Linked DNA regions of Struthio camelus. The protein of the gene in region 2 interacts with the protein of the main gene of each other region in a biochemical or structural test. Links are inferred from orthologs where the notes say so. Each region holds a gene or a part of one and is shown on either strand. Other genes may lie near its edges.

What was found.
Region 1: the proteins of CEBPA (region 2) and TRIB1 form a complex in vitro, tested with the Homo sapiens proteins (2 studies listed by BioGRID and IntAct, with this or other methods). The link is inferred for Struthio camelus from reciprocal best matches to the Homo sapiens genes CEBPA and TRIB1.

The regions. Positions count from the first base shown.
Region 1 is NC_090943.1:161,113,364-161,128,397, forward strand, and holds TRIB1 (tribbles homolog 1), read left to right. Parts: upstream 1-8,073; 5' UTR 8,074-8,144; coding exon 8,145-8,154; intron 8,155-8,744; coding exon 8,745-9,331; exon of another isoform or gene 9,332-9,367; intron 9,368-9,813; coding exon 9,814-10,106; intron 10,107-12,258; coding exon 12,259-12,727; 3' UTR 12,728-14,544; downstream 14,545-15,034. UniProt on the Homo sapiens protein: Adapter protein involved in protein degradation by interacting with COP1 ubiquitin ligase. The COP1-binding motif is masked by autoinhibitory interactions with the protein kinase domain.
Region 2 is NC_090951.1:12,253,946-12,269,282, reverse strand, and holds CEBPA (CCAAT/enhancer-binding protein alpha), read right to left. Parts: upstream 7,611-15,337; 5' UTR 7,479-7,610; coding exon 6,504-7,478; 3' UTR 5,543-6,503; downstream 1-5,542. UniProt on the Homo sapiens protein: Transcription factor that coordinates proliferation arrest and the differentiation of myeloid progenitors, adipocytes, hepatocytes, and cells of the lung and the placenta.

The DNA.
Region 1 (15,034 bases), on a different chromosome or scaffold from region 2:
AACACTCAGAAACAGAAACTGGTATGAAACCCTGGTTAAACAATCTTTGCAGTTTGTGAGATGCGCAGGTGTGCATTGATGTTGCTCTCATGGATCTAATTTCAGCCTTAGTGGTAATCAGGCTCCCAAGTTTTCCGATGCAAAGATGTATACAGTTCCCTTTGGGCACAGTGTTACACCTCAAATGTAATTCATGTAGGTGTCTTGAATGTGCCTCTGAATAACACATAAACATAATAAATGCAAAATTATGTCTAGATTAATTTGTAGCCACAGACTGGTGGCAGCAGGGTTTGGTTTGCTGTGTGTGGTGTTTGTACCAACATAGCCTTAGATAGCTACGTTCCTGATACCCTCATTACCCTCCTGTTCCCATGGGTAATGCTATAAGTGAGATTGCTGACTTAAGTTACATTTCTTTGCCATATGTTAAAGAGAGAGGGCTTGACCCGTAGCAGTGTTGATGGCCCTAGTGGAAGCTACAGACACTCAGTCTGCCTCTGCACTAACTAATCCACAGGTAATATGTGAGCTGGCCTGGTTAAGGTGATGCAGTTGGGAGAAATACCAAACAAATCTGAAGCAACACTTTAAAAGAGAAGAAAACCAACAGTCAAGCACTCATTTATTTCTTCTGTAAGTAAGCCTTTCTGTAAGTGGAAAAGCATTTTTGAGTGTCTGCATTCCTGCCTCACAACAAATGATTTTGTTTTCTTCCTTTGCTAGCCTTTGCTAACCATCAGTGAATCTGGAAACTTGAACAGCAGCTGCAGAACGCAACCTATACATTCTGAAATCCTTTCAGTCTTCAGCTGAAAGAAGTGGACTGATCTTTGGCAGCAAATATCTGCCTTGCTTTAACAACAATTACATTTGAGGTGAAGATGTGTTTGAATTTAAATAGAGGTAGGTTTCTTTTATCATCAGAGATACCTCTTTTCAAGTATGGCTAGGGCCATATTATCCAGAAAAAGACAAATATTTGAGGCACTTATATCAGGACTGCTGACTACAGTATTTAAATAAGTCCCATCCCAATCAGTGATGCATAGATTTTCAACTGCTAGAGAAAATTGCCTGTATTTATTGAAATCCATGAAGTTCCACTCCCCAAAATGTTTGGCCTTTCTCGTTCTAATTTACATCCTAACATCCAAGGAACTCCAGGCAGGACCAGTGAATTTCTTTCTCTGGACCTGGAATTTGAGCCATCCTGCTGATTTTTCATGGCTGGTTCTCTCTTATTGTTGGTGCTCACAAGTAATTTTCCAACTGAAATTGAAATACTACGGGCTTGATCATTAGCTTGAATTGCACCTGGCACTTCACTGGGTAGAAAAACACAACTGCCTTGGCAATTGAGGAAGGCTGCTGTGCCCGTCAGCTGACTTTTTGATGGAAGTTATAAAATGCTACTGATTCTTTGGGGTGGCTGTTTGTATTTGTTGGCAGCTCTTTGCTCTTTCACTTGCAAAGGTTAGGTCTTGTTAAGCAATAGTGTCCTCCTTATGCAGATGTGGTCTCTGTTGCGCACAACTCTGCTCCAGACAGAAGTAGCTTGAAAGAGTTAAAGAATGAAAATGAAGTGTCTGATGATGAATAAGCTGATCCCTATGATTCACAGAAGTGGAAACTCAACAGCAGTTAAAGCTTCAAATCTTAATCTGTTTTGGCTATAAGATATCATATGTAAACACGCTATGTTAACAGTTCACAGAGTAATGTGTGTCTCATTATTTGACGTCAGAAAATTTTGCAATAATATTTAAGGAAAGAAACTCATAGGTTGGGTTTTAGTGTTTTTGTTTTTGTTTTTGTTTTTCCATAAGGTGTGCTTTACAAATACAGAAAACCTAGATGTGGTTAACAGGGGTCTCGCACTGAAACATGCTGAGGATTGGTCTCTCCCAGAGAAGTTCCATGTAACATTTCAAGCGATTAAAGAAATGTCTGATCAAACATTAAAATAAATAAAAAGCAAAAGAGACCTATATGCAAAGACTTTCAGTGGTACCCTGAGGCATGAGCCATTAACACAGTTCTCTCGCTTGAACAGATTATCCCAGTTAAACAGAATTCTCCATTTTAAAACTAGAAACGCTCTCTGAAGTTTTCAATTCAGTGGGAGCAGGAAGTATAAAGATAAAGAAAAACACAATCAGGCAGGCACCTCATGGAAGATTTAGCACACTTGTGCTAAAAGGAGCACACAGTCCTCTGAATCAAGGATATATTCATCATTACCGCTCCTGAGCAGCGATCTTATTCATTCTGGAAGAGTCAAAAAGACTGGGCTAAGTCAGTGTTCCCTTGAGAAATACCCGGAGCAAAAGCAGGGGCTGCAGGAAGTGATACCGATGACTCAGCAGCCAAGGCCAACACACTGCCTTATTTTAGACAATGTCCTACTGGATATACTCATGTTTCCTCATGAGTGGCTGATGACAAAGGTCTTACCTGTGGTCACAAGTACCTCATGACGTTTTTCTCAAGAATAGCTCTAGTCTTGTGGCCAAAATTAACTTAGAATTCACTGTGCAACTTGATTTAACTTCTACCACAGTTTCAAGTGAGTGTTAATCTCCATCCAGCCTAAAAAATCTCCATGTAAAAACCTCTCTCCTGAGGTTCTGTGTGGCCCATTAACTGGAAATTTCAATAATAGGTAGTGCTCTGTTACACAGTAAGGGTGCACCTAGTAAGGGTGCTTCTTGGAGTGGAAAATGTTAGAATATCCTAAGGACCAGTCTTCCTTTCTCCTTGTTACAAGAAAAGATTATTCTGCAAAGGGATCAGTCATCGAAGGTTTTTTTAAAATATATATATATTTAACATCCTAACTGCAAATAAATCTTGCATTTAATTTATATATATATATATATATATATACACACACACACACACACACACACACACACACACACACACACACCTATATAATCATTCATATATAACAATTTATTATCTGGTCATAAAATACTGTTAATATATATTATTTCAAAGACATGAACATGGTCACAGCAGTGCTCAGAGAAAAATCATATGCACAGATGCTACCAGATTCTGTGTTGTCAGCAAGTAATTATAAGAAGTAAAAATATTACACTGATTGTTAATCAGGTATAATTCTAGGATGAATGGAAATCATATAGTAAATACCCATGCAAGTGCTTAACTTTGTGAGGCACGAGTAATCTCACTGAGTTAATGGGACTGCATTGAGGTAGATGAGAACTGTGTTTCATCATTTCAAAACACTGCGTAAAATGGAGATTCAGGGCTAAGGAGAGAGTTTGCCTCAGTTACTTATTGTGATTTTAGTCCGGACTTGAACACAGAGCTTGCAAGCACTCACATGAATTGAATTGCATGGGAAGCTTACCAAAGGAAGTGTTTGCTTGTAAACTCAATATGAATAGGATCTTCTCTGACCGCAAGGGAAATGGAGAGACACTCATTCACTGGTCGCTTGTGCAATCAACTTCTGAAGTAAAAACAGGATTTGAGGTTTAAAACCTGAACCTTCACATATCTTTCAAGTAACAGAAGAAGCCTTCATGTGCTTTAGTCCATGAAGAAACAAAGTCAGGAGGTGCTGCTCATGAGACTCCTTGGATTTGATAACAACTGGCTTATCAAAAGGGAATTATTTAGTTTTCCTAGCAATAGCAAGCCTCAGAACAGTTTCTGTGAAGGCTTGAGGGGAGACGTCTGAACATCATTACATTTCAGTTTGTTTGATGTCCCTGCGTGCCTGTCATGCGTTCTATATCTTAACATTGAATCTGTCACTCAATTCCAGAATGTCTTAGTATGGTTGCATGTTTATCACGATGTGATTTTGTTGTAAAAAACATAACTTGTAAGCTCTTTTTATCACTGGGCCACACAATTGCACCTCAGACTTTTTCCACGCGGGTTGCTTTCACATAGCACTACGGTAGTAGATTATGGACTATTTGCTCGTTTTAAATGCTGGCTTTAAATCTACTAGTCGTTTAAATATCATGACATGGCTTGAGCTAACTTGTAAATACAGATATTTACTTTTCATCATTTGCCTGACAGTTAAATATTAGCTGAAATATTTGTGTGTGATGACTCTTCTCATCTGATAGCTAAAATGATGAGTTTTTAATTTCTTCCCATAGCAAGCAGCCAGTTTATTTATAAGTGGCCTAATCTAACACAGATTTACTCTGTGTATCCCATGAGACATATTATCAAAGTAACCAGACCTGTCCCAAGCACTTGGGAAGTGGGGAGATGGTTACACAATTCTCATTGCCTCTGGCTGTTCTAGTTAAAAAGATAAAGGGTCAGAGAACTGGAGCAGCAGAGATGATAATTTCGTGAGCATCTAAGGAAAAGCAGCTGATCAGATGCGGGCAGGCAGTGGCTGAGGGTGAGACGGGTAGATGCTTGAATACCACATAATAAAAATTCCCTTAAATAAAGTAATACATCAGGAAAAGGGAATGCAAAAAGCTTGTGAAAGCATGAGCAACTGAAAATATCTCCAGCTTCTTAAATCTTCATCTAGCAGGTGCGATAGCACTGCTTACCTGTTTTTAAAAAAGGAAAAAAAATATATATGAAAAGGAATATTCACCCTACCTTGCCATGGCTCTAGCCAATGTGTGCTGAGCAAGACCTTTCCCTCTGCTGGGATGCCTCAAAACTGTGACAGCCATCCCACAGGCTGTCACCTCTGCTCCAAACGCCAACTCCCTGCCTAGCAGTTGGGATTCCTGGAAGAGAGAAGACAGCAAGCAACCCTGATTGCTTCGATCATCCTTTTCCAAGGCAGGATCAGATTTATGGCCAGATTTTGCACCGTCCTTTGACTGCAAACTCCTTAGAATTCTTTAGCGTTTGGAAAGTGTCTGTTGCACGCAGATTAGTGATCCGTGTCCTCGAAGGCCAGGCCTGCCCCACCTTACTCCTACCCAGCCTGTATTTGAGCATCCAAGGCTGTGTGCTTGGTTCCTTGTAGTATGCGGGATTGTAGCTCATAGTGTTTCGTTTTTCTGGCACTTAGGTAACAAGACTCATGCACAGAGTCAGTATTTTATCCCAAAGTTAAGTCTATAAATGTAATTCTGCAATGATCTGTGCTTTGCAGTGTTTTACAGTGCTATCCATCTGAGATGCATGAGACCGCCTTGCTTCATTTGGAAGGGCTGGCTTTAAATCTACTAGTCGTTTAAATATCATGACATGGCTTGAGCTAACTTGTAAAATACAGATATTTACTTTTCATCATTTGCCTGACAGTTAAATATTAGCTGAAATATTTGTGTGTGACCTGTTTAGACTCAAATTCATCCCTGGCATAGCTGGGAACTGCCAGCACCAGTATTCATCTCCTCTTATAACCTATGGCAGCCCTCAGAAATATCCTTTTTTAACGCACAGCACCCTGTAAGAGAGCACAGATGCCCCATGGATCATCCCAAACCATCCCCCAAAATGCCTTCAGTCCCTGGGCTTCCTGGGAACCCGTTATAAAGGGGATCAGCTGGTACAAAAGGTATTCAGATGCAGTAGTAAATGCCCAGGGTACCTCTGAAGTCCTTGAAACAGTTGAAGATTAAAGATGCTATGGCTCATTGCTGGCTCCCTGAGCAGAGATGAATTTCTTTCTTCATGTATGCTAAGCAGGTAGCATGAGAAAAATCTTCCTGGGCAGGGGGGAGAGATGAAATGACGAAGGCTTGTGCAGGGAAAAGAAGGAAGATATCAGTGGCTTTTGATTTCAAGAGGAAACTAATGAGGGAGATACGCCTGGATATGCCTGGATGCTTAAAAGCCCGGGGAGCAATCTATAACACGTGACTGTTGTGGGAAGTGTGGTAGACTCATATTCTGCACTACTTTTCTAACACTAGAAAGCTACAAAAAGTTCTTCAGTTCTTCACACACCGCTCCCTTGAATTCCTCCTATGTCCTTTCTGCATTGCTTCGCAGTACAACCATAGCAAATCACTTCTTGTTGTGTTCTGCCACACGTGTTGGGAGGAATTAGCAGGGAGGGGGTGCTGCATGTGGACCTTTTCTGACAATCTGTACCCAAAACTTAAAACTGACAAGGCGAGCATCATTAATTTGATTAATGATTAAACCTTTCATGGCTACTATATATTTATTCATGATATTAATGCTCCGAGTACCCAAGAGCATGCTAAGCATTTTAAAGAAGCAGCGGCAGCTTCCTGCTGCAATGAACTGCCTCCGTTTTGCAAAGAGTTTAACCCTGGGAGATTTACGCCTCGGTTCACCTCAGCCACATTTAGGCAACAGAATTAGGAGCATGGTCCACCTAGGAGTCTGTACAGCCTGCTAGGAGAGGCCACCGAGCAGCACTTTGGGAGGGCCACACGGCTCTTGGGCAGTTGAATCACCTTTTTGCTGGCCCTGGAGGCATCTGTGGGGCTCCTTGCTGATGCCTGCACCCGTCCGGCGGGACACCTCCAGGGTGGCCAAGCCCAGCGTCCCAGGGAGAGCATGAGGAGGCGGCTGGCCTGGGGGGGGGGACAAGCCCACAGGCCGTCCTGGGCTGGGTGCGACATCGCGGCACCTGTGTGCTCCACTCTCCCTTGCACCTCTGGTTGATCTTTTAGGGGCACGGGATGAGCAGGGGGCTTTTGGCCATCTTAAGGACCAGCCTCAGGAATCGTCAGGCTCTCGGTGTCTCGAAGGCAGCGTGCGTGCAGGTGCTGGCGGCGCGGGGCCGGGTCGGGCGCGCCGAGGACTCCTGGGCTGGCCGTGGCCGGACGGGCACCAGGAGCCCTCCAGTGGGGCCAGAGGCCGAGGAGGTGAGGGACAAGACTTGTGATTTCTGCAAGTGGTTTCTCAGCACGGTCTGCTCCTTAAGACGTATCTGAGCTCACAGATACTTTGTGCTGGCCTATGAACGGGAAGAGAGGGACCATTTGGAGGGCCAGGACCAAAGGCACGTACATACTGCAGGTTCACCAGTTGGTGTTTACTTTAACGTCTTCACTTCCTGCGCATACGAAATCACCACACGAGTCTGAAGGACAAGTATGGTGAATGGTGTTATATGCTAATAACGCTGGTGAGTAAGGCTTTGTAGCTCCACTGTTATTTTGGTGAAGTGTCTAGACTATTACCCTGCCCCTAAAAAGCACTGACCCCCTTCTCATCCCCCGCCCCCAGTACGCTATCTCAGATGTAGCATGCAGCCTATTTATGCAAAATCCTACCAACTAAATTAAACCTGCAATGGTATCCAAATTGTAAAAAGTCCAGGAAGGGAAAAATAAAACAAAAGTCTGATGGATAATCAGGCATGTTTTATCTATGAAAGGGACAAAATGAAAGAGCATGCTTTGAGAGTTGAGGTGAATTGCTCAGAAGCAATCTGCAGACATTAATAGAATCACATTTCTGAAACAAAAAAAAAAAAAAAAGGAAAATGCAACCCCTGGGATATCCCTTTTTGGCATATGCATTTTGTGTTTAAATGCATTAATGGGACTGCTATGCTATGAGTCATCCAGCACAAGAGTTTCATATGTTTCTTAAAATACACTAGGAGTAGCTGAAGGCATGCACGGCTTTGCAGTGCAGTTATCTATCAGGAATCTCAGCAAATACCTGCTCTTCATGCAACCACAGGCTTGAGAAATGGAGGAACCCTATCTAGTCCTCTAACATCCTGCTGTTTAAACGCACTAGCGTGGTGGCATTCAAGATGCGATACAAAACCGATTCTGCAGCTTAGCAAAAGCCCAGGCTCCTTGTATTATTGTGCAAGCCTCAGTACTGAATTACAGAAAATTTGCATAGATGTAAATAGAAGAGCCGGGAGCAGTTTCCTTCTGAAGAACTGTCAGAATTACGGCTGACTCTATTTTTTTTCCAGCGATCGTTTGTTGTCTGTTTTCCTCTTGTTTTTCCTCCATTTACTAGCAACCCTGGCTGCAAACCGACTTGGTGTTCCCTCAAGCCTGCGCTTCCGAGCCTGCCCGCGGCTGCCCAGGCTGACCCTGCGCTTGGCAGGGCGCTCCCTCGGCTCGCTCTCCGTTCTGTTACCTTTCAGGACAGCGGATGCTTTAAAAACGGGCAACCCCCAAGGCGAAGCGTTGCTGACGGGGCGCAGAAATCCGCGCTCGTGAATGACCGACGGTAAATACGCACCAGCTTCGTGATGCAAACTGCGCGGTGAGCAATGGCTAATTAGCGACAAGTGACAAACAGGAACTGCTGGCGATGCCAGCAGCGAACAGCACGGCGCCGAGCGCGGCTGTGCCCGCTGTCTGTCCTGACAAGCAGCCTGGCTTGGCTGTGTTGTGTTTGCAGCCCCCAGAAGGGCGCAGCGGTGCTGTCCCGCGGGGAAGCGGGGCGCTACGGCAGCTGGCACCGTTCCCCAGCGGCACCCTTGCTGCCGCTTCCAGCACGGGCTTGCAAAACGCCAAAGCCGTGCTCCTCCTTTGCTGCCCGCGACTCCCGCTCTGCCCGACAGCGTGGGCGCCTCTGAGCCACGCTTCCCGCGTGGGCGCCAGGGGCACGCGGGGCTCGGGGCGCCCTGTCCCGGCAGCGCTGGAGCCAGCGCAGGTGCGAGACGCCCGGCGGGGCCGCGGCCAGCGCGACGGGGCGGGCAGCGGCGGCAGCGCCAGCCTCCGCCCCGGCCCCGGCCCACTTCCCCTTGCGTCAGGGCAGGGAGGAGGGGATAAACCTCGCTGCCTTTCTTTCCTTTTTTTTTTTTTTTTTAAAAGCCTCCAAGTACTTTAGCGCGGAGTCGGCGGCAGATGGTGGACACGGCCCGGGGCTGCGGCGGGGAGAGCGAGGCGATGCGCCAGCCGCCGCTCCGCGCCTGAGCCCCGCGTTGCGGCGGCAGCAGCAGCAGCAGCAGCAGCGGCGGCAGCAGCAGCAGCAGCAGCAGCCGCCGCCGCCGGCCCGACCCCGGCGCGGCCGGAGGCTCCGCTCCGCTCCGCGCCCGCTCCGCGCCCCCTCCATGAGCCGCCCGGCGCCGCCGCCGCCGCGCCGCGCCGCCGCGCTCCTCCTGCCGGCCGCCCGCTGCCGCAGCGCCCCGGCCAAGCGGCTGCCGCCGCTGCCCGACGGCCCCGCCGAGGAAGCGCCGGCCGCCAAGTGCCCGCGCCTCGCCGACTGCCCCGGCGGCGCCGCCGACTGCCTCAGCGCCCCCGGCTCGCCCTGCGCCCCGGCCTCGCCCGGCGGCGGCGGCGGCGGCGGCGGCGGGGCCGGGCCGAGCCTCATCGCCTCCTACCTGCTGCTGCCGCTGGCCGAGCGCGAGCAGGTGTCGCGGGCGCTGAGCGTCAGCTCCGGCCGCGAGCTGCGCTGCAAGGTGAGCGCGGCGCTGCGCGGGCGCGCGGCTTCCTCCCCCACCACGCCGGGCGGCGGCGGGCTTGCGGGTGGCCGGGCGCGGGGCGCGGGGCGCGGAGCAGCCCCGGCGACACTGGCCGGGGCAGCCGGGCGGCGCCGCGGAGCCCTCGCAGAACACCCTCCCGCTGCTGCCCGCTTCCACCGGCGGCCAAATCCGGCTGCCCTCGGCGGGCGTTTGCCAGCGCGGAAAATAAGCTCCGGCTGTGGATTACCTTAGAGTACCTGAAAGGCTCTTGGTGGATATTAAAGGCTTTGGGTGGTGCTCCCCCGCCCAACATAAAGTTAACAGTGCTTTAATAGCCTTGGAAGGGGTCTCGGGAACAGCTTTGCTGCTGAGCGTTGGCGCTTTTCCAGCTCCCTCATCATTGTTTGGGGCGAGTTGCTACGAGAGAGGCCGGTTTCAACGCCTTGACAATGAATTTCGCTTTACTTTCCTCCTTACAGGTGTTCCCTCTCAAACACTACCAGGACAAGATCCGGCCTTACATTCAGCTGCCGTCACACAGGAACATCACCGGGGTCGTAGAAGTGATCCTCGGAGACACCAAGGCCTATGTCTTCTTCGAAAAGGACTTTGGGGACATGCACTCCTATGTGAGGAGCTGCAAAAGGCTGCGGGAAGAGGAAGCCGCCCGGCTTTTCAAGCAGATCGTCTCAGCTGTAGCTCACTGCCACCAGTCGGCCATCGTACTTGGTGACCTCAAGCTCAGGAAATTTGTCTTTTCTAATGAAGAAAGGTAAGCCCTTACCGCCTGCCAGCCTCTGGGAGGGAGCGCTAGGGAGAACTGCCGCACTGAGAAATGCCATGTTTTTAGGCAAAAAGTATTCCAGGGAGTGGAAATCTCCAGGTAAACCAGGCGTCACCTACAAGATCCGAGTACGTCCATGTTACGTATATTTAATAAGTCACGGATCTAATTGGTCCGCGCTTATTTTCAGTCCGATCTTGACTGATGAAGCTGAGGAAACTCAGCGTCAGCCTGCACTCATTCACTAAAAGTTTGACGAAACCCTTTGGTGGAAAAAGGGATGATCGTGCGAGCGCTCCTTAGCGCCAGATGTCCAAATATATATCATCCGTGCAATGCGTTCGACAAGAAATGACTAAAAGGCACAGACCGCGGGCGAAAGGAGGCTCAGGCACTAGGCACGCGAAAGGGATAACAGCTCTGCTCTGGCAGCAGGAAGAGGGAGGAATCCCCGTTCCCGGGGAGAGCCCCATGGCCCTGCCAGCTGCCCCTGGTGGTTCCCCCCCCCCCCGGCACCTTTCAGCGCCGAGAGAGGAGCCACCAGCAAGGGTCTTCTCTGATAGCTTCTTATCAGAGTTGTGTTTCTAAGGATAGATTTGCTGTGCCCTTTGAAGCTTTTCTCTCTCTCATCCCTGCCAGCGGTGACGTTGATGGTTTCTGCACCCCACGTACACGTGGACGTGGGCACGCACAGGAGCGAGGGTGTTACATGGTTAAATCTGACTTTGGGAATTCTTCTCTAAGGGGGGGAAAAAAAAACCCCACAAAGCAACACCTTGATAAAACTTAGCCTAAAGCATAGGTTTATAGAGAGATGATTCTAAGCCGATTCTAATAGGAATACTTTCACAATTACTTTTTAATTTTAGATGAGGGAGTTAGTTCACATTTCCCGGGTGTGTTTGCTGCTCTCGAGATCCATCACTAGCACGGCAGAGCCAGAAATGTATTTTAATAAGCAAAACTGACATTGATTAGGTGCTTATCCCATTGACGGCTATAATAAGCAAGAGCTTTAACGGAGTTGTGCTTAGTCTGATGAAACCTGAAGTGTTATTAGTGAAGCAGAGAAAAGTGTATTTTTTTGAACTCGGCTGATACTCCTTGAAGATGCAGCGTACGAACATGATAAGAAAATGAACTAGAACTGCCCCTCTGACACAGAAACAACCATATGTTGTCATGCAAAGAAAGTAATTCCTTTGAAGGAAGCTATTGCAGCTTTTCCCGCCCATAATGAGGTGAAACATTTGTTGAAATGTTAGATTGCACACAGTCTCGCTAATTTGGAAATATGCATTGCACAGGCTAATGTCATGTGCATCAAATTTGGCAACAAGAGGGTTAAGCAACGCGAGGCAGACTCCTCGGCTAGCAAGCACAGGTGCAGTTTCAGCGCTGCAGCAGCCAATCCCGGGCCCACAGTCCGCATTGAGTCATATTTTCCGTTTACAGAACCAATGGGTATTTTGCATTACAACAGGAGGTCACACCGAGGACAGGCTGCAGTTAACGCATTTACACCCCAGCAGACTGCAAGGCAGAGCAGAGCCCTCCCAGAGCACGTGAACGGCTCCTTGACTCATTAAAAGCTCTGCTTTAACCCAAACAGCAGGTCAGGGTGGACCCCTCTTTGGGAGGCTGCCCGTTGCAGTGGTACCAGCTGGAAAGGGCAAAAATAAAAGATGAGGAGGGTTGAGGATAACCCCAAGCGCAGAGGAGATGTGGACTTTGAGTCTGAACAACCGTGCAGCTGCACGCTGTTTGCTCAAAGCTGGGACTGCAAACAGCAGCGCGCGCTGCGCGCCGCAGCAGATTGACCCGGCGCGGTTATAGGGCAGCTTGCTGCTGTTCCTCGAGAGCCCCCGATACTGTTAAAGCCCCGCGGTAAACAAGCTGGCGTCACCGCCTGGGCACACAGGGCGTCACTGATGCACGTAGCCGCGCTTGCGCTGCACGGCTCCAGGATAACGGGGAGAACTTCTCCATCTCAGGCTGAAAAGTGGCCGCCCTCTCCCTTTCCTTTGCACTGAAGCGAGACAGGGATGCTGGGGTTGCCCCGGCTTTTCTTGTTAAAGTCGTGCCCGTCTTTCGCTACCGCAGATTTATAACGTGTGCCTGCCTTTTCTGCGCTTCTTAGGACTCAGCTGCGGCTCGAGAGCCTGGAAGACACGCACATCATCAAGGGCGAAGATGACGCGCTCTCTGACAAACACGGCTGCCCGGCGTATGTCAGCCCTGAGATCCTCAACACGACAGGGACTTACTCCGGGAAATCAGCTGACGTGTGGAGTTTGGGAGTAATGCTCTACACCCTGCTGGTGGGACGCTATCCCTTCCACGACTCGGATCCTAGCAGTCTCTTTTCGAAAATCCGGCGTGGACAGTTCTGTATCCCTGACCACGTCTCTCCCAAAGCCAGATGCCTCATCCGCAGCCTCCTGAGGCGGGAGCCCTCCGAAAGACTCACTGCTCCAGAGATCTTGCTTCATCCTTGGTTCGAAGCGGTCTTGGAGCCTGGATATACAGACCAGGAAACGGGAACTTCGGATCAAATTGTTCCAGAATATCACGGAGACAGTGACGATATTAGTTCCTTCTTCTGCTAATCCTGAAAATCTCAGAAAAACCTCACAATTCTCACGCACGGCATCATTTTTTTGTTTTTTTTTTATTTTTTTTCCACATTGCAAATTCACAGCATCTTAAAGTGCCAGTAGGGTCAGAAAAGTGACCTTGTTTAAAATAAATGTCAAGCAGTAGGTCCGCTGCCTGAGTGTATGCCGAGTCTCACCTGCTTGCTTTGCTGGTGGGTCCTTGCCGCTGGCCCTGGAGAACCCACGCAGGAGCCACCTGGCTCATCTGATGCCTCCGGTGTCCTCTGCTGCTGTGACCAGCTCAGTTTTGATCGCAGAGCCTTATTGCTGGGCACGGAAGAGGCAGAAACGTTGGGTTTCCCCATCCTCAGCGGCTAAGAGGGTCCCACCGGTGAAAGGTAGCGAGTGGGGGGGTCACAAGGCACCTTCCTAGCTGAGCAAATCTGACAGGAGTTGGTAAAAAGGGGAATCGACTTGGAGTGCCACCGTGGCAGTCTTGCAAAGTGGTTTTCTGACTGTAAGTCATGAGGGAAGGAGGTCTTAATCCGCCGCGTCCGGCTACCTGCGCGTTGCTCCAGTTGAGCTTTTTTCCATAGGTAAATGACGTGAAGCTGTTAAAGATCCATCCGTAAGACAAGTCACTACCGCGAGCGCTGCTGTGACTCTTTACGAAGGAGACAGTAGTGGATCTCGCAGCCGCACACCCTCTGATTTCATTTGCTGAACGTGCAAGTGCTTTAAACGTACTTAAGCCCAAAGTCACCATGGCCTATTCTATATGGTTTAATGCCCTCAGTGAGTTTTGCAAGTAGCAGGTTTTGTCAGCTCTGAGTGCCAAAACATATCCGTTTACCAAAATGTAACACTATCGGGTGGGGCGCCTTCCCTCCGAAAACCATAAGGGGTATCTTGTACAGTACATGTAAACACTTTTGTGTTTTCCTGCAGGCTCAAGTCTTTAAAACATCACATCTCTTCTCTCTCCCTGCACCCCCCCCCATCCCCAGGAAGGTAGTCTTAAGCATAAAATCTCTATACATCCTAAGTTGATTGTTGGGGGAAGGTTGTTTGCCTCCAGCTACGTTTTTTTTTTCCCCTCCCAAAAAGAAAAAAAATTTTTTTTTTTTTTGCATGATTATTCCTAGTCTTTCCAATGTGCGTGGATAACGAATAGATCTAAATCCTTAGCTGCCTGGCTTGGGGGTAAGTCAAGCTTAGTCCTGCCTAAGATTTCTGCTTTGTTTTCACGTTTGCGTCCAGTGTCAAGAGACGTCCGTTCGCGTTAGGCGCGAGCGCGGTTTTGGAAAGGGATGTTCGGTGGTTAGTGCGCATCCCCAGCACGGCCCGGCGACGACCAGGTCGTTGGAAGGGTCCCCCCGCGGCAAGGTGCCGTGCCACCACGCGTGGTGAGAATACCACGTATACCTCATGGGCTGCGTGCTCTGTACATACCTTACCGTTCGGGGCCGGGGGAGGGAGGGGTGTCGTCTTTTTTTGTTTTGTTGTACTTCCTTTGTCCTACTAAGAGGTGTCGAAGAGCAATTTAATGTGAATTCTTGTTGGCAATACTAACTTGACAGAATCATGAGCATTAAGAGCAGGGCGCTACCGCTCTCCGTTGCACTAAACCTCTCATGATTGCTTGACATTTGTATCTGTGATACAGTTTAACCCTTCTATGAAAAGCAGTACGTTTGTATATATTGGTAGAAGACTCTGCCAGAAAAGCTAAAAACACTATGTCCACCTTGTAAATATGTATATATCCTGTGGAAACCTGGATGATAAAGTCTGACTTGTAGAAAGTTTTAATAAACTTGGTTTCATAACGGTTGTTCCTGCTCCTTGCGGGGCCGGGGGATGGATGCAGTTTGAACACGCGCGGCTTCCTCTGAAACACGTCTTGCTCTCCAAGAGGATGGGGCAAATCTGCGCTTCCTGCACGTGCCCCGTCACGCCTGCGTCCACGCCGGGCGTTTGAGCACCGGCTCCCGCCGTCCTCGCTCGGGCCGAATCGCCGGCGGGGCTGGGGGCGCTTGGGGGGTAGAGAGGGCGGCAGCCTTCCCCACCGCTCGGGAAGTGGAAGGGGGTCCCTAATTTTGGGGCAAACGAGGAGAAACCGCAGCCCTCGCTGTTGCATTTCAGCCAGCGGGCTCGCCAGCCCCGCGCCCCCGTCAAAAGCGAAACGCAAGGTTGCGGGAGCCGCTTCTCTTGGTGGCTCCCAGCGAGGGCTATAAATAGCAGCAGGATGGAGGTTAGGGAATGTGCTCTCCCGGCAGCGATCGAGCCGTCCTCGTAATCCACCCAGCGCGGTGAGAT
Region 2 (15,337 bases):
AAGACATGGGGCCGTTGTTCCTGCAGAGTGAGTTTTTTGTGGAACTCCACCAAACTGCAGAGCAGGCAATGTAATGTAAATGCATCGCCTTTACCCCACCAGGCTCAAGGAGAAACCTGTAGTGGAACAGACATAAAAAGTCTTCATTTCCAAGAGTTGATTTTTTTCAGCACATTGAAACACAGATATCTCAGTGCAAGTTGCATGTGTGTGTGTGTGTATGTGTGTGTGTGTATGTGTGTGTGTATGTGATTTCATATGTATAAACAAGGATTTCATTACCATGGAAGAAAGAGAAAGCCAGAACCAGAGATGTCACCTTATTCAGTCATCACTATTTTGGCTTAATCTATTATAACAAGAGAGGGCACTGGGCCTGTTCCTTTAATCAATTAGACCTCTGCCATTGTTTTCAGCAGAAGCATGCTCAAACCAAGCGAGCGCAGTGTTGGGAGGCACCTGTTTTCTCCTAACAGCGAAGCATCTTCCGCCACCCGCTTTCAGGGTGGAAGTTGGCGTGAAGCACTCCAAAAGCTGTTTCCTATCCTCCAGCCACCTGCAGCAGGTGGATAAGGCAGGCAGGCTCCTTGAGGGTAATTTGCCTGTTGTGACAGGAAAAAAAAACCAAATCACTGAGAAATCCTCACATCCCTCCCCCCCCGACCCACTCTCTGCTGCAGGACTTTGTTATGGTCATGAGCAACGTCTCAACTCTGTACACAGTGCTGGCAGACAGCTACTCCCTTCCTCCCCGCACCCGTTTGGACATGTGATTACTTGCTTGGCCTCTCAGTCACTGTGCCTCCACGTCCCCAATCCCACCTCGGGGACTGACGAGGGCCAGGGTGGAGAGGGAAGGATTGCACAGGCGCACTCATCATTTTGTGTCAGGACGGGCAGATGCCGGTAGCATTGTAGCAGCACTGCCTATAAAAGAAATAGGCTCAGTAGGAAACTTTCAAAAAGCCACCGCACCGCTGTGAGGACGAATGCCTCTGAGCAGGAACACACCCAGAGCATCCTCCCAGCGCCGGGGCTGCTCGAGCCCGTGCCCAAGTCCAGATAAAGAGCCCTGGTGCAGAGAAGGTGTGTGCAGGGAGAGGAGTGGGAGCACGGCAGCACGGCCTGCCCTTGCCCGCAGGCACACCATGCATACCCCCTGCGCGCCGCCCTGCTCGGCACCAGCGCGGGCCTCCATCGCTTTTCACAGCAGAGCGCATAAAAAATCCTTCCCATTATCTAGCTATTCATAACGCATGTCTAAATACTATTGAAACAGCCTGGTTCATACGTCGCTACAAGGACAGGGCTTGGGGGTCACACACAGCATTCCTCCATTCACGGAAATAACGCTGACAAATGTTCTTGCACTACTTGTCAGGTCACCTTTACAACAGGAATCAGGCATCCAACCTGAGTTAATGCCACTCCATGCTTTCTTCTCCGTACTCACGCCAGACTGCCGTTCCTGCCGAAGCGAACCCGTTCACCGAGAGGGGAGGCACACGGACCTTGCAGCACGCCGGGCTGCCCGCCTCTCACAGCAGTTACCCCGCAGGGGCTACGCCTGCAAACTACAGCACTCTGCGCCAGCGACAAAAATCATCCTGCAAACTATAGCACTCCGCGTTGGTGACAAAATCATCCTCTTCGGGGTGAAGTTCAGCCCATGTTCTGGGGTTTCCCAAATGCAGGAAGTCTGACAGCATAATTTGTGGCAGTAAGGGAGTGCTTTCACGCTCACCTGGGGAAGGAGGGGAATAACTGGAAAGAACAAAACAAAACAAAACAAAACAAAACAAAACAAAACAAAACACCACGTCTCTCCTTCCAGAGCTGGAATACTCACTCTGGCCCTGTGGTTACAGCAAACACCCTAAGCACGCAGCGGTGAGAACTTTTCCAGCAGAGCAATGGCTTGAAGGACTCACCTAAGGCTCAGCCTAGGGCTAGGGTTGAGGGGAAAGGAAGCCATGCACAGCAGTGGGAGAGGGGCTGCCAAAGCAAAATGCAGGCCGCAAAGAGCACCGTGCTGCGCGAGCGGCATGGCTGGGCAACGCAGGGGGCTTTGGCTATGCTCAGCCTATGGTTCGGGTTGGGGTTAGGGTTATGGAAAGCTGCTCGCTTTGGCACTGTGTTCAAGGTAAGTATCTCTAAATGCTTCCCTGCTATCAACTCCACAATATCCCATGGCACGCTGCGTTTATATAACTATTGAAACACCTATGCGGTAGATAGGCGATCTTAATTTTGCATCATGGAATGGTTGAGTCTTCAGCCGCTATAGACCTATTTAATCTATAGTCCATTTAAATTAATGAGAAAAATCTGCTTTGTTTGAGGCCATAAATGATTTGCTGAAACCACACGCACACACGGTGAGTCACAGCTCAGAACATAACTCAAATGATCGGGACTGTATTCTCATGCTCTAACCACCAGATTACAGTCCCTCCCACATATACCCTGCAATAATCTCGGCTCAGATGATAACAGCATTTCCCCACTTTACATGTTGGATGGCATTACTAAGTACAACACATCATACGCTACAGGAGCACAGCTTTACAGGGCCGGGGGAGAGGAAACATGAGTAAAAGTCATTTTTGCTGGACACCAGTAGAGCTTAACTCTACTAGTTCCCAGGCCCCGGCTTTAAATCTAACTGAAAACCAAAATCTTTAATCCTGATTCATCTTTTACACATCCCATGCTGTGAGCACTCACAGACCGACTGCCATGACAGCTTTTGGTCGACCAACCTTACCCTTTCTCAGCTCAGGAGAACAGATGTTAATGCACTCGCAGCTGCTGTCAGGACGGAAACCCTTCCTGGAGGTGGTGAGGGTACTCTGCGCACCCAAAATTGCGCCTGAACTGGGATGTTGCTTCACGCCTGTGGGCACAGCATAGGTTAGAGTGAAACTTGAACTAGTACAACCATATTCAACCAGATTTGGGAGTTTTTATGAGGATACGTGTGGGCTTACGGCCCAGGTATCACTGCCTCAGACACTTGTGCGTTCAAACCTGTCTTTTAGGCTTGTCCGAATTCTGTTATCACCGTGTGCTGGGACGCTCCAGTACCGGCAACAGCGACGGGGAGCCACGCTGCCGGTGGACACTGGGTGGGGAAATAACGTCACCGGGGGCCAGCAGCCACTGGCGCGAGCGGCCCATGCCAGGTCAAGCCGACTGCCTGGCCAAGCTGTGGCCGAGGGGGCCAGGGCTGGCGGGGGTCAGGGGCTGCTGGGGGTCAGGGCTGGCGGGGGCCAGGGGCTGGCGGGGGCCAGGGCTGGCGGGGGCCAGGGGCTGGCGGGGGCCAGGGGCTGGCGGGGGCCAGGGCTGGCGGGGGCCAGGGGCTGGCGGGGGCCAGGGCTGGCGGGGGCCAGGGGCTGACGGGGGCCAGGGCTGGCGGGGGTCAGGGCTGGCGGGGGCCAGGGCTGGCAGGGGTCAGGGGCTGGCAGGGGCCAGGGCTGGCAGGGGTCCAGGGCTGGCAGGGGTCAGGGGCTGGCGGGGGTCAGGGCCGGCAGGGGCCGGGGGCTGGCGGGGGTCAGGGCTGGCGGGGGTCAGGGCTGGCGGGGGCCGGGGGCTGGCAGGGGCCAGGGCTGGCGGGGGTCAGGGGCTGACGGGGGCCAGGGGCTGACGGGGGCCAGGGGCTGACGGGGGTCCAGGGCTGGTGGGGGCCAGGGGCTGACGGGGGCCAGGGGCTGACGGGGGCCGGGGACTGACGGGGGCCGGGGACTGGCGGGGGTCAGGGCTGGCGGGGGTCGGGGCTGGCGGGGGTCGGGGCCGGCGGAGGCCAGGGCTGGCGGGGGTCGGGGGCAGATGGGGGTCAGGGCTGGCGGGGGTCAGGGGCTGATGGGGGTCCAGGGCCGGCGGGGCCCGGGCTGGCGGGGGTCAGGGCTGGCAGGGGTCAGGGCTGGCGGGGGTCAGGGCCGGCGGGGGCCGGGGGCTGGCAGGGGTCAGGGCTGGCAGGGGTCAGGGCTGGCGGGGGTCAGGGCTGGCGGGGGCCAGGGCCGGCAGGGGCCGGGGGCTGGCGGGGGCCAGGGCCGGCGGGGGCCAGGGCCGGCGGGGGCCGGGGGCTGCTGGGGGTCAGGGCTGACGGGGGTCCAGGGCCGGCGGGGGTCGGGGGCCGGCGGGGGTCAGGGCTGACGGGGGTCAGGGCTGGCGGGGGTCCAGGGCCGGCGGAGGGTCCAGGGCCGGCGGAGGGTCCAGGGCCGGCGGGGGTCCAGGGCTGGCGGGGGTCAGGGCTGGCGGGGGTCCAGGGCCGGCGGGGGTCCAGGGCCGGTGGAGGGTCCAGGGCCGGCGGGGGTCAGGGCCGGCGGGGGTCCAGGGCCGGCGGGGGTCAGGGCCGGCGGAGGGTCCAGGGCCGGCGGGGGTCAGGGGCCGGCGGGGGCCAGGGCTGGCGGGGGTCAGGGGCTGACGGGGGTCCAGGGCTGGTGGGTGTCAGGGCTGGCGGGGGTCAGGGCTGGCGGGGGTCAGGGCTGGCGGGGGTCAGGGCTGACAGGGGTCCAGGGCCGGCGGGGCCCGGTCTGGCGCCCCGCGGCGGGCGGTGGTAACCTTACCTGGAAGCGCGGCCCGAGCCCCAGGGCCGTCACGGCGCCGGCCGGGCAGGGGCTGCTGAGGGCCGACCCGCGGGGCCGCCCCCGCCCCCGCCCCCGGCCCGGCCCGGCCCGGCCCGCCGCCCGCCTCCCCCCGGGCCCGGCAGGAGCCGCCGGGCGGGGCCCGAGCGCCCTATCGCCGCCGGCCCTCGCGCCGCCTCCCCCCGCCGCCGCCCCGGCCCCGGCCCCGGCCCCGGCGGGGGAGGCGGGAGGCGCGGCGGGGCGGCCGCGGGGGGGGGGGGGGGGCGCGGGCCCGGCCGAGGCGGCGGCGGCGGCGCTGAGCGCCTCGTAGCGCCGCGGGAGAAGAACGGGAGACACAGCGGGAGGCGGCGGGTGACGGTAGGATATATGCTGTTTATTTATGAATGTAACCAGGACTTGGACAAACTTTATATGCGGGGTGTCCCCCCCTCCCTCCCCACGAATTCAAAACAAACAAACAAACAAAAAAACACCCCACCCCACCAATGTGTGTGCATATACATATACATAGGCATACCCCGAGCCCACGCACACGCCCCACGCACGCTTCGCACACGCGCCCCGGGCGCCCTGCGCTCCTCTCCCCCGACGCCTGTTCCGACCCGGCTCGGGCCGCGGCCGCCCCGGGAGGAAAGCCCTCGCCGGCTGCCGGGGGACGCGCTCCGCCGTTTATTTTCCTCTCTCTCTCCCCGCCCGGGGGAAGCTCCAGAGTCCAAAGGTGCCGGGCGCCGCGCGGGGCCTGCTGCGCGGCGGCCGCCGGCCCCCCGCCCCGGCCCCCCGCCCCGGCCCCCCGCCCCGGCCCGCCGCCCCGGCCCCCCGGCCCGCCGCCGGCCCCCCCGGCCCGCCGCCCCGGCCCCCCGGTCCCCCCGGCCCGCCGCCCCGGCCCTCGCCGGGAAGGCCACACGCGCGCTCACACCCACCCACACACATCATAAAATAACGTTGCAGCACAAGGGCATAGTCTCTGTCACCAGATAAGGAAGTCGTGTGATGGCACAGAGCTAAGTAATGCAATAAAAATAAAGTGTAGCTAGTATACACGGAAAGGCTTTCACATTACATGAGGCACAGCTTGGGCAGACCGAGGAGCTCCATGTCCTGGAATAAAGCAAAATACACTGAAAGTTCCTAGTAAATACCCGCATCGATAGGTATTTATTCATTTGTGCTTCGCCATGCCGTGACATACAGTACAAGACGCTGCTGCTCCTCGTTTCGGGGGAAGGAGGTCACCGTGCTCCCTCGCAGTCCTGGGCGCCCAGGGGGCTCCCCGAAAGGCGCAGAGCCTGGCGGGGACAGTCCGGCTAGCAGTCCGGCAGCTCTCCCACGCCTCGGTGCTCCGAACCACGGCGCCCAGCTCCTCTCAGCCTTGGTTAGCCCTTCTCGCTGGGCGCCCCGCAACGCGCCCTCGCCTGCAGGCCGGCCGCGCGGGGAGGCCCCAGCCTGCCCCAGCCGGGACCCCCGCCTGCCCGCACGTCCCTCGCCCTTCTCCCTCAGGCCCTGCCAGGCTGCGGGGAGCAGAAAGCCCCAGAGCTCCTGCAGCCAGCTTTTAAGGCACAACGTGGGTTGCTCTGTGTGCTTTATTATTATTATTTTTACCCTGTGTAGACACGTGGGGTTTTTTTTCTCCCTTCCCTTCGCCTTTCTCCTTATAAAACCCACCATGTTCTTCAGCTTATTCGTGTGTCGTCCCTAAGGCACAAACCTTTTAATACTACTACAGCTGCCTGGCTTCTTTTATTGGTCGTTAATTGTTCCAAACCAAAAAAAAAAAAAAAGAAGAAGAAGAAGAAGAAAAAAAAAACACAACCCCCCGTGAAACAATCTCAGGTCGCTGCGCTCCGATGTAAGTCATAGAGATAGGTAAGGGCGGGTGAGCGGCGGGCGCGGCGCGCCCCGAGTCCGTGCCGGCGGGCGCTAGGCGCAGCTGCCCATGGCCTTGACCAGGGAGCTCTCGGGCAGCTGCCGGAAGATGCCCCGCAGAGTCTCCAGCTCGCGGGTGAGCTGCTCCACCCGCTTGCGCAGCCGCTCGTTGTCGGTGGTGAGCTCCAGCACCTTCTGCTGCGTCTCCACGTTGCGCTGCTTGGCCTTGTCGCGGCTCTTGCGCACCGCGATGTTGTTGCGCTCCCGGCGCACCCGGTACTCGTTGCTGTTCTTGTCCACTGTCTTTTTCGATTTGCTGCGGTGGTCGGCGGGCAGCATCTTGAGGGCGCCGGCGGGCAGGCCGCCCGGGGGGTGCGGGTGGTGCGGGTGGTGCGGGCTGGGCACGGGCGTGGGGGGCGGCGTGGGGTGCCCGGGCTGGAGGTGCATGGTGGTCTGCGCGCAGTGCGCGATCTGGTACTGCAGGTGCGACGGGTGCTGCTGCGCGGCGTGGTGGGGGTAGAGGGCCGACAGGGCCGCCGACTTGACCTCCTCCTCCTCGCGGGGCTCCTGCTTAATCACCAGCGGCCGCAAGCCCGGCGCCGCGATGCGCTCGTAGAGCGGGTCCAGCTTGCCGTCCAGGTAGCCGGCCACGCAGCCGAAGAGCGGCTGCTGGTGGTGCTGCGGCTGGTGCCCCGGCGCCGAGGAGGCGGCGCCGGCCCCATGCATGCTGTGGAAGTCGAAATCCCCAGCCAGGATGGCCTTGGTTTTCTCCTGCTGCTTGCTGTGCTGGAAGAGGTCGGCCAGGAACTCGTCGTTGAAGGCGGCCGGGTCGATGTAGGCGCTGATGTCGATGGAGTTCTCGTTCTCGCAGATGTCGCCGAGCTCCGCGCCGCCCGCAGCAGGTGCCGCCGCCGAGGGAGCCTCTCTGTAGCTGTAGGCGCTGCCGGGCAGGGGAGTCTGGAGCTGGTGGTGCTGGCCGCTGCTCATCGGGGGCCGCGAGTCCACCTCGTAGAAGTTGGCTTGCTCCATGAAGCACCTACAGCGCGCCGGGCATGGTGAAGGGCTCCTGCAATCCAGGTTTCGGACGGGGCGGCGGCGGCGGCGGCTCTGCCAAGCCCGCGGCGCCCCGCGGCCCCCCGGCGGCGAGCGGCACGGCGGCGGCGGGCCCGGCCCGGCCCGGCTCGGCTCGGCCCGGCCCGGCTCCGCTCGCCCGGAGCCCGTCCCCCGCCCCAGCCCGCCCGAGCCCCGCTCGCTGCCTGCCTGCCCCGTTGCTAGTGGGTTGCCGCGGTCCTGCGTGCCCTATATATACACGCCCGCAGCAGGGCCGGGGATCGCCCTCTAGTGTCCAACCTCCTGCTGGGAACCTTTGACCGCCGCGCAGCCGGGTCTTAGCGCCCTGGCAGCGCCGCCCGGCCCCTCCGCGGCCCCCGCCGCCCCCGCCGCCGCCGCTCCGCGCTGGCCGGGCCGCTGCGCGCCCGCGCTCCCCGGCGCCGCTCGGCGGGGCGGCGCGGCCCAAGGCGGCCGGGACGTTTGCACCGCCCGCTGCCAGCCCTGCGCCGCGCTCCCCGAGCCGGCAAATCCCCGGCTTAGCTGCGGAGAAAGTCTCAAAGTTCACCACCCCCCGCGCTTACTGGCAAATATTTGGCCAGTCTGGAGCAGGAGCCCGGCCGTGTTTGCCCAGGGCACCGACGGCGGGGTTTCGCCGGCGGGCGTTACCTGCCCAGAGCGCCCTGTTGCCGGGCGGGCTCGGGGCAGGCTGCGCCGCATCCCGCGGCGCCCCGGCTTCCCCGGCGGGGCGGTCGGCCGGGCGGCGGTGAGCGCCCCCGCGCCCCGGGCAGCCCGCTCCGCAGCCGGCCGGCTGCCCGCCTGCTGGCGCGTTTGCTTTGGCCCGAGAGCCGCCCGCCTCGGCCGCGGAAGAGCCCTTCGCGGGCACCTGCGGGGCGCCGCTCGGGCGGCCGGGGCTGCCGCCGCGCCGCGGGGGGGGGCCCGGCCCGGCGCCCCGCGGCGAGGGATGAACGCGTGGGTGCCTTCCCCCCTCGCCGCGCCCCCCGCCCGAACCCAGCAGGTAAATGTGACTGCAGGTTTCCGCAGACCCGCGACGGGCGCGGGCCGGCTGCCGGCGCGAACCCGAGACGAAGCCGGGTGCAGCTGGGCCCCGGCTCCCCGCGCCGTGCAGCGGCACAGCAGCCAGGCGGCCTGCCGTGCGCCCGGCCCTGCAGCCCTAGCCTCCTTGGAGACACTGTTTGCCTTCCCAGCCTCCGCTTCCTGGCTGCTTGGGGCAAAGCAATGTTCCCGCACCGCCGACTGCAGACACGACCTGCACCTCTCAGCTACCGTGACCTCTCTCCTAGGGTAGCGCAGTATGTTCCTGCAGCAGCTCCACGGACTTCCTAAGAGTCCGAGTTTCACGCTTCAGCTCGGGAGGGGTAAGGATGCACAGAATTTCCTCTTGTTGCTATCCCTGGCAGTCTGCAGAGCGGACCGATCTATTTGTTTTCCCTCTCTGGCCCTTTGCTTGTCTTCCAGGTGCACCTCAGGAAGCCACCCAGGCATTCAGCTACTGCTGGTCCAGAAGCTCGCTTTGAAACTGGCACAAGAGAAAGGACATGCCAAAGCCACTGGACCAGGTGCAGCCTAAATTTGCCAGAGCAAGATCTGCAGAGGAAACGATTCCAACATAGTGATGGCTGGGGTGAGGGGGTGGGGGAAGGGTTGTAATTCTTCGTCCTGGATGTCCTAGTAAACCAGAAACTTGTGACACAGTAAATTGCTTGCTCAGAAAGGGTTTGAAACATTCCTTGCAATTAATAGTATGGGACAAAGTCTTAAACAGGAAACAAAACTACAGTGTTCAATGAACCCTTTTTTTGTACTGCATATCACACATATGAACCTGTTTCATGAGCAAAAAGCAGGGCCCGTAGATTCAGATAGCCTTGTTGCATTCTAGTATCCTATCAGGAGAATCGAGTCTGTACCTACAGCAGGGAAAAATGTAAATTTACAGACTACAGAATATACCTTTCACTTTTCAATAGCAGTAGAAAAAAATCAAGCATAAATTCTTTTTATACATGGTCAATATTTTCTAAAATTGTACGTGTTGGTTTCAGCACTTAAGCGGTTCCTGAAAGGGGTATTTCACTGGTCGATTTGGAGCTGTAGCACAATCAAAATACCAGTAATAACTCTGAACAAGGTCATGCTACAGAAGAGAACCCTCAAGCCTGTGACAGAAACAAGCTTTGGATGCTTCAGAGTCTACAGTAAAATCTCCCAACTGCATCTGACTGTCTGAATTCTGCTTGTTCCACTCAAGCAATCCCATTCATAGAAAAGGGACAAATCCAGCCCTTGACATTTTGCCTACTGGGACACGCTCTCTTCTGGAACACCAGCTGGAGGTTCGGTTTTACTCCGAAGGCCTTATCTAACTCTGAAGTCAGCAGAAACAGGAGGGGGCCGTGCACGTTTAATATAAAAGATCAGTGCTGTGCAATACAGCAGAAGTATATAACTGTTTGTCACTTAATAACAATACCTACGCCTCTGTAGCCTTAAAACACTCTCACATTTTATAATCATTTTGAAATTAAGGCCTAGGCACACATTAAAAAACATTCAAAGTAAATCAGAAAGTTCAGGATCAGATTCCATTCCTAATTACTGTAATTAACGAACAAGTCCCCACAACTTAAGGACTGGTTTGCTCAGTCTTTTTTACACAGACCCCTTTTATCTAAGTTAAGAACTTTTAAATAATCTCTTTCTGCACGAAAACATAAATTCCTGTTCAAATTGTTTTAATACGGTCTAAAATGAGACTCCCAGACTCCGACAAATAAGAGCATTCTTATTCTTTTTTTGTCCCTCCCTCAACGGCAACTAAAACGTTTACAAGCTGATAATCTCTCAGACAAATGCCTATTTCCACATTCACATTAACAGAGATGGATACCAAATATTTCAGATCTAACATCAAGAAAAAATTTCTGTCTTGTTGCTTCACTTCAATGTGTCCGGGAGTTAATTCAGCTAAAAGAGGAAGGATGTCTGTTGCATATTATGGATCCCTGAAGCAGCACTGCTGTCAACTCTTGAGGGTGCTATTCTTCCATCTCAAAGTAGAGGTTGCCTCTAGTAGCTATAAGCTAGAGAAGGATTAGAAAAGCTGCTCCAAACTTCTGAACAGCACTAAAAGTCATTTATACCAAGTTAGTTGTACTGGTTGCTGTTAGTAGGGAAGGAAACTGAAAAGAAAGTCATAATCATGAAGGAATGCAAATATATTTGCTTTATACAAGTGAATTTCGTGACTGCTGGGGTTTTTAATGGCATCTGAGCATTGAATTCTCATTCACTTCTCCTAGACTCAGCTCCTGTCCTGTTCTCAGGCCTTCGACTCCTGTGGGCTGCAAAAGGGGTTCCCTCGTGTGTACAGCTACAACATCCAGGCTGGCTTTAGACGCCGAGCGGGCGTTACAGGACTCTGCTTTTGGTCCAAGGCCCTGGAAGTATAGTTCGGACATGGCATGCAGCACCTCAGTTAGGAAGCAGAGTGCCATTATACAATTACTTTACTGCCTTGTTAAATTAGAATATTTCATTGCTTTTGACAAAGCTCCAGAATGCCCTGTCTGCAGGCAAAGCTCTCCTAGCTGTGAATGCCAGCACAGTCCAGCGCCTCCTCTCTCCCACCTGTGGAGGGGGTGAGAGGAAAGGAGACAGAGTTGGCCAGGGGCAGGGATGGGCACTGTGGAGCAGGAAGAGGAGTACTGCTGCCCTGGGAATGACGGGGGGGGGGGGGGCAATATCCTCAGCTGGGGACAGCGCGGTGCCCTAAGCGTACCATGGGAGCAGGCAGGCATGGAGCAGTAGTCTTCTGGGTGAATAAAGAGCTAGCAGCCCACCATCTTACTTCTTGTGTTGTAATAAAACACCCACTTCTCCCCTCTCCTGTGCCCCAGGGAGGGGAAACATGATACTGCACATGTAAAAGCTGCCACACCATGACAATTTTCAAATGAAAAGGCTTTATGTGCCAAAGCCAATCCCCTTGGAAGCCAGTAGATCAGGATGCAGCATGGTATGACAAGTAAAGAGGACCTTCCCTTCAGCTGGGAAAGGCAACTGGTGACTCATTAGCATTTCTGATGTGCAAAGTTTGTCCAATGACAGATGACTGAATTACTTATCATTACGGCTTTTCTCATTTGGAGAAACAATGTTTACAGCTCCAGGGTGAAAAAACATAAATTATGCTATACTCCTCTTCCCTTTTCTTATCATTCCCCTTGTCTTCAGGGTCTCTGTGGCCATGTCCTCAACACGTGCTGTCCTTGTGCTCTACTCACTCCTGGCTCCTCTCCTGAGAGCTCAGTCACTTGCAATTACCACACTAGTTGACCGGGAGCATCTTTTCACTTCCTGACACTGCCTGACTACTGCTCACCCACCTCCTTTCACAGTAGGGATCATAACTCAACCTGTTTCCAGTTTGTCACCTGTAATCATGTACAATCAGGCTGTGAAACTGTAAGTGGTTTACCTGTCCCCAATTTTTTTACATGCTTAATGAGCCATTACATACACAGTTCCTCTTTTATGGTTAGGATCATATTTCAATGATTATATGCATGGTGACCAGATTATTCTGAATGCTTTTCAGATACCGCACTAAGTTCTGTCCCAAAGAAGTTACAGTTGAAATACCAGGAAAAAGTATGCAACAGTTTTGTTCCCCATCTCTCACTCTACTCTTTTCTTCTGCATTATTAGACTGTCACTTTTGCCTTAAGACTTCCTCCAACCATGTTTAGAGTTCTCCTACTAATATGTATCAATTATCCTCATGCTCAATATTTGCGCTATCCACAAATTGTCCATTCACTCTCTAGTCTTTTATCTCAGACTAGACAATAACCTGCCTTCTGTCCCACCTGAATTTATTTTTCAATCTTCTCTCCATCTTGCAAACTTCAGTGTTTTTTCTCATCATGAACAGCTCACACAGTCTTTAATTCATTCATGCTTACATCTTCCTGGGAGGTGGAGCAGTGTTGCTACTCTCTGTTTTATAGCTAGAGAGCTGGGAGACGGAATGACTTGTCAAGGCCACACAGGAAATAAGTGGCAAAGCTAGGAATTTTGGCTTTCACATGTCCTGAGCTAGTATCACAACCAGTGAGCATCCACAAATTCCATTGCTGCTTCCCTACATTTGAAACGCTTTATTTTTCACACATGTCCTTGCTATTTCTACATATTTTGACGGAAAAGTTAAATTAACTTTTATCTCGAAATAAATTTATTTCTGAAGTGAACTGCCAAGAAAATGTCATTCTTTTCCTTTTGATTTTGCCATTGTATGGCTTAAGGGAACATATAGGAAATATAGCTTATTTTCACAGACCCTACCCCTACACCACTGAATTGAGCATGAAGACTCTCTGATCTGAGCAGAAACTGGTGCAGTTTCTAGCAGACAAATTACGTAACAGAACACTAACATGGCAGTTAACAACACACTCCCAAGTCAGTTCCCAACTCTCCTTTTAGGGGAAGAGTGTTCCCAAATACTTGCTGAAGACTGCAGCTATTAATATACGGCTGGCTACTTCTCATCATATCATCCACAATATAATCCAAAAAAGGAGGTTTAACCTGCTGGTAAATCCAGAAAACAAAAAACATAGCTCCCTACTTGTATTTCCACACAGTTAACTCTGAATTCAGGCCTTTAACTGAGATGCTACATGAGCTGTATAGGGAACTCTGGCTCACAACTGTAAATGCCCAGAACTGCACCTAGGACTAAACACCGATGTAACACAGGTGTCTGTAGACTCACCATGCATAAAGACTGCTGGGCTCTACATCTGGGTTAGCATCATTATTTAAGGAAATCCTGCTAGTTAGCAAAATAGCATCCCGTCGCTTGTATGAATAATTCACTCTGAGGTCAAAGGTGTGTTATGATGATCAGCTCCTCCTAAAAATACTCATTTGCAGTATTAACTGAAGTAGCTAAGGCTCAACACATATATTGGTAACCGTCCTAGAGCATATCTCCATGAACATTGCACTATGACACTGAATCACATAGGAAAAAATACACAACTGTCTATTACATATGTGTTTTGATTTAGCATTAATACTTCAGAAATATGTATGCAGTCATCCTGGAGCAGTACTCATACATTTGCTTTTAAGGCAACAGGTAGTCTACCGGAGTAACCACAACTTTGTCAACATGCAAGGAGATCAAAAAAAGTCAATCCCCAATCTTCTGGTTTTCACAAGGTACGTTTACAAAGACGAGCTAATACATTTTGGGAAGGCCACTAAAGTAATGTAGAACCTTAGCACTGACTTAGACATAACTTTCTATGGATCTCAAAGGATTTTAAAAAGAAAATGGTACAGCGTGGCTTAGGCTTCATCAACCTTTCTAAGCAGTCCTTGTTTGCACTGTGGACATGATCCTGGGGGGGTATCTGCAAAACAACAACAAAAAAAATTATATTAGGGGAACATCAAAAATGTGTTAGGCACAAAAACGTGGATAGCAGGAGACCCTTTGCTACACAAGCAAATTACAATCAAAAGAACATGATATGAGAAGTAAGAGCTATAGGACAGGAAAGGAAGAGGAAGATCAGCTTAGAAAAATAAGGTCACGCTATTTCTTAACTACGTATTTTAACTTGTGACACATCCTGTCACAAAACAGTCCCTGCCATGGATGTAGTGTTCCTCTCTAAACCAACTTTACTCCCCTTTAGACGAGACTATAACAGGGATCTAAACTAATCTGAAGAGTAAAAATGTGGTAAAAAGTTACATTCTGTAGCGTAGTACAGATGTGAAAGCGTCAAGCTGGCACTCCAGAGAAGCACATTTCTGACACTGTTGGGAGGAACTTTAGGTGGATAAGAACTGCACAAGGCCCATCAGAGAACTCAGGGATTTGATGGGCTTTTTGCATTACCATTTCTCTTGCGTTCAAGTTATTGTGTGCTTCCCAAGTCACATAATGAGACAGCCTCACTATCCTGTAGGTCGTTTTTTAGTTCTCAGCCTGCAAACATTCCATGCTCAAGCTATCTGTGGAACAAAGTGCTAGGAGGCGGAAAGACAAAGATAATAACCTTTGGTGCAACCTGTCAACTTAGTGTCACAAAAAGTTCAATTTCAATGGCAGAAAGGTTTGGGGCTCCATTTGGCTCATATTTTAAAAAGTCAGGTTTTGTAAAGTACTGAACCTATACAAATAGAGAGCAGCTTCATTGCTCACCGTGGTTGCTGTCTTGTATCTGAAAGTTTGACCTTGCTGCTGAGCTAAATTCAGCTTTCTCTAATTATCCCACTGCCAGCCCAGGGATTACTGGCATGAGTAATCTAAGCAGGAGTTGGCCTACTAAATGTAACAAAAAACGTCAAAGGCAGGGAGAGGGAAGGGAGTCACAAGAAAGCTTTGGAAAGTTCTTAGAGTTAGCAGGGAACGTCACAAACGACTTCTAACTGCTGATCAAAGAAACAGCCGGTACATGGGAAACAACAAAAACACAGAGGAAGGAAGCAAGTCAGAGGCAATCTTGGCTTGAAGACGATTGCAGTTTTCTTATCAGTTTCAAGCCAATAATAGTGATACTCCTGGGACCAGAATTTCTCCTGACTCTACTCAGAATAACCGCTGCACAAAGATGAGACTTCAGAAGCAGCTTACACTTACAGGCTGGAATACTGTGCTGAAATTCCCGTCAGCAGCATATGGACCCTGTGGCAGAGTGATTTCACTGCCAGACTGACAGGCTGATGGGACAGCATCGACTCTTGTGGAACCACTGGCGGGTGACGTGAGATAGGGCCCTTCACTCCCTGCAGGG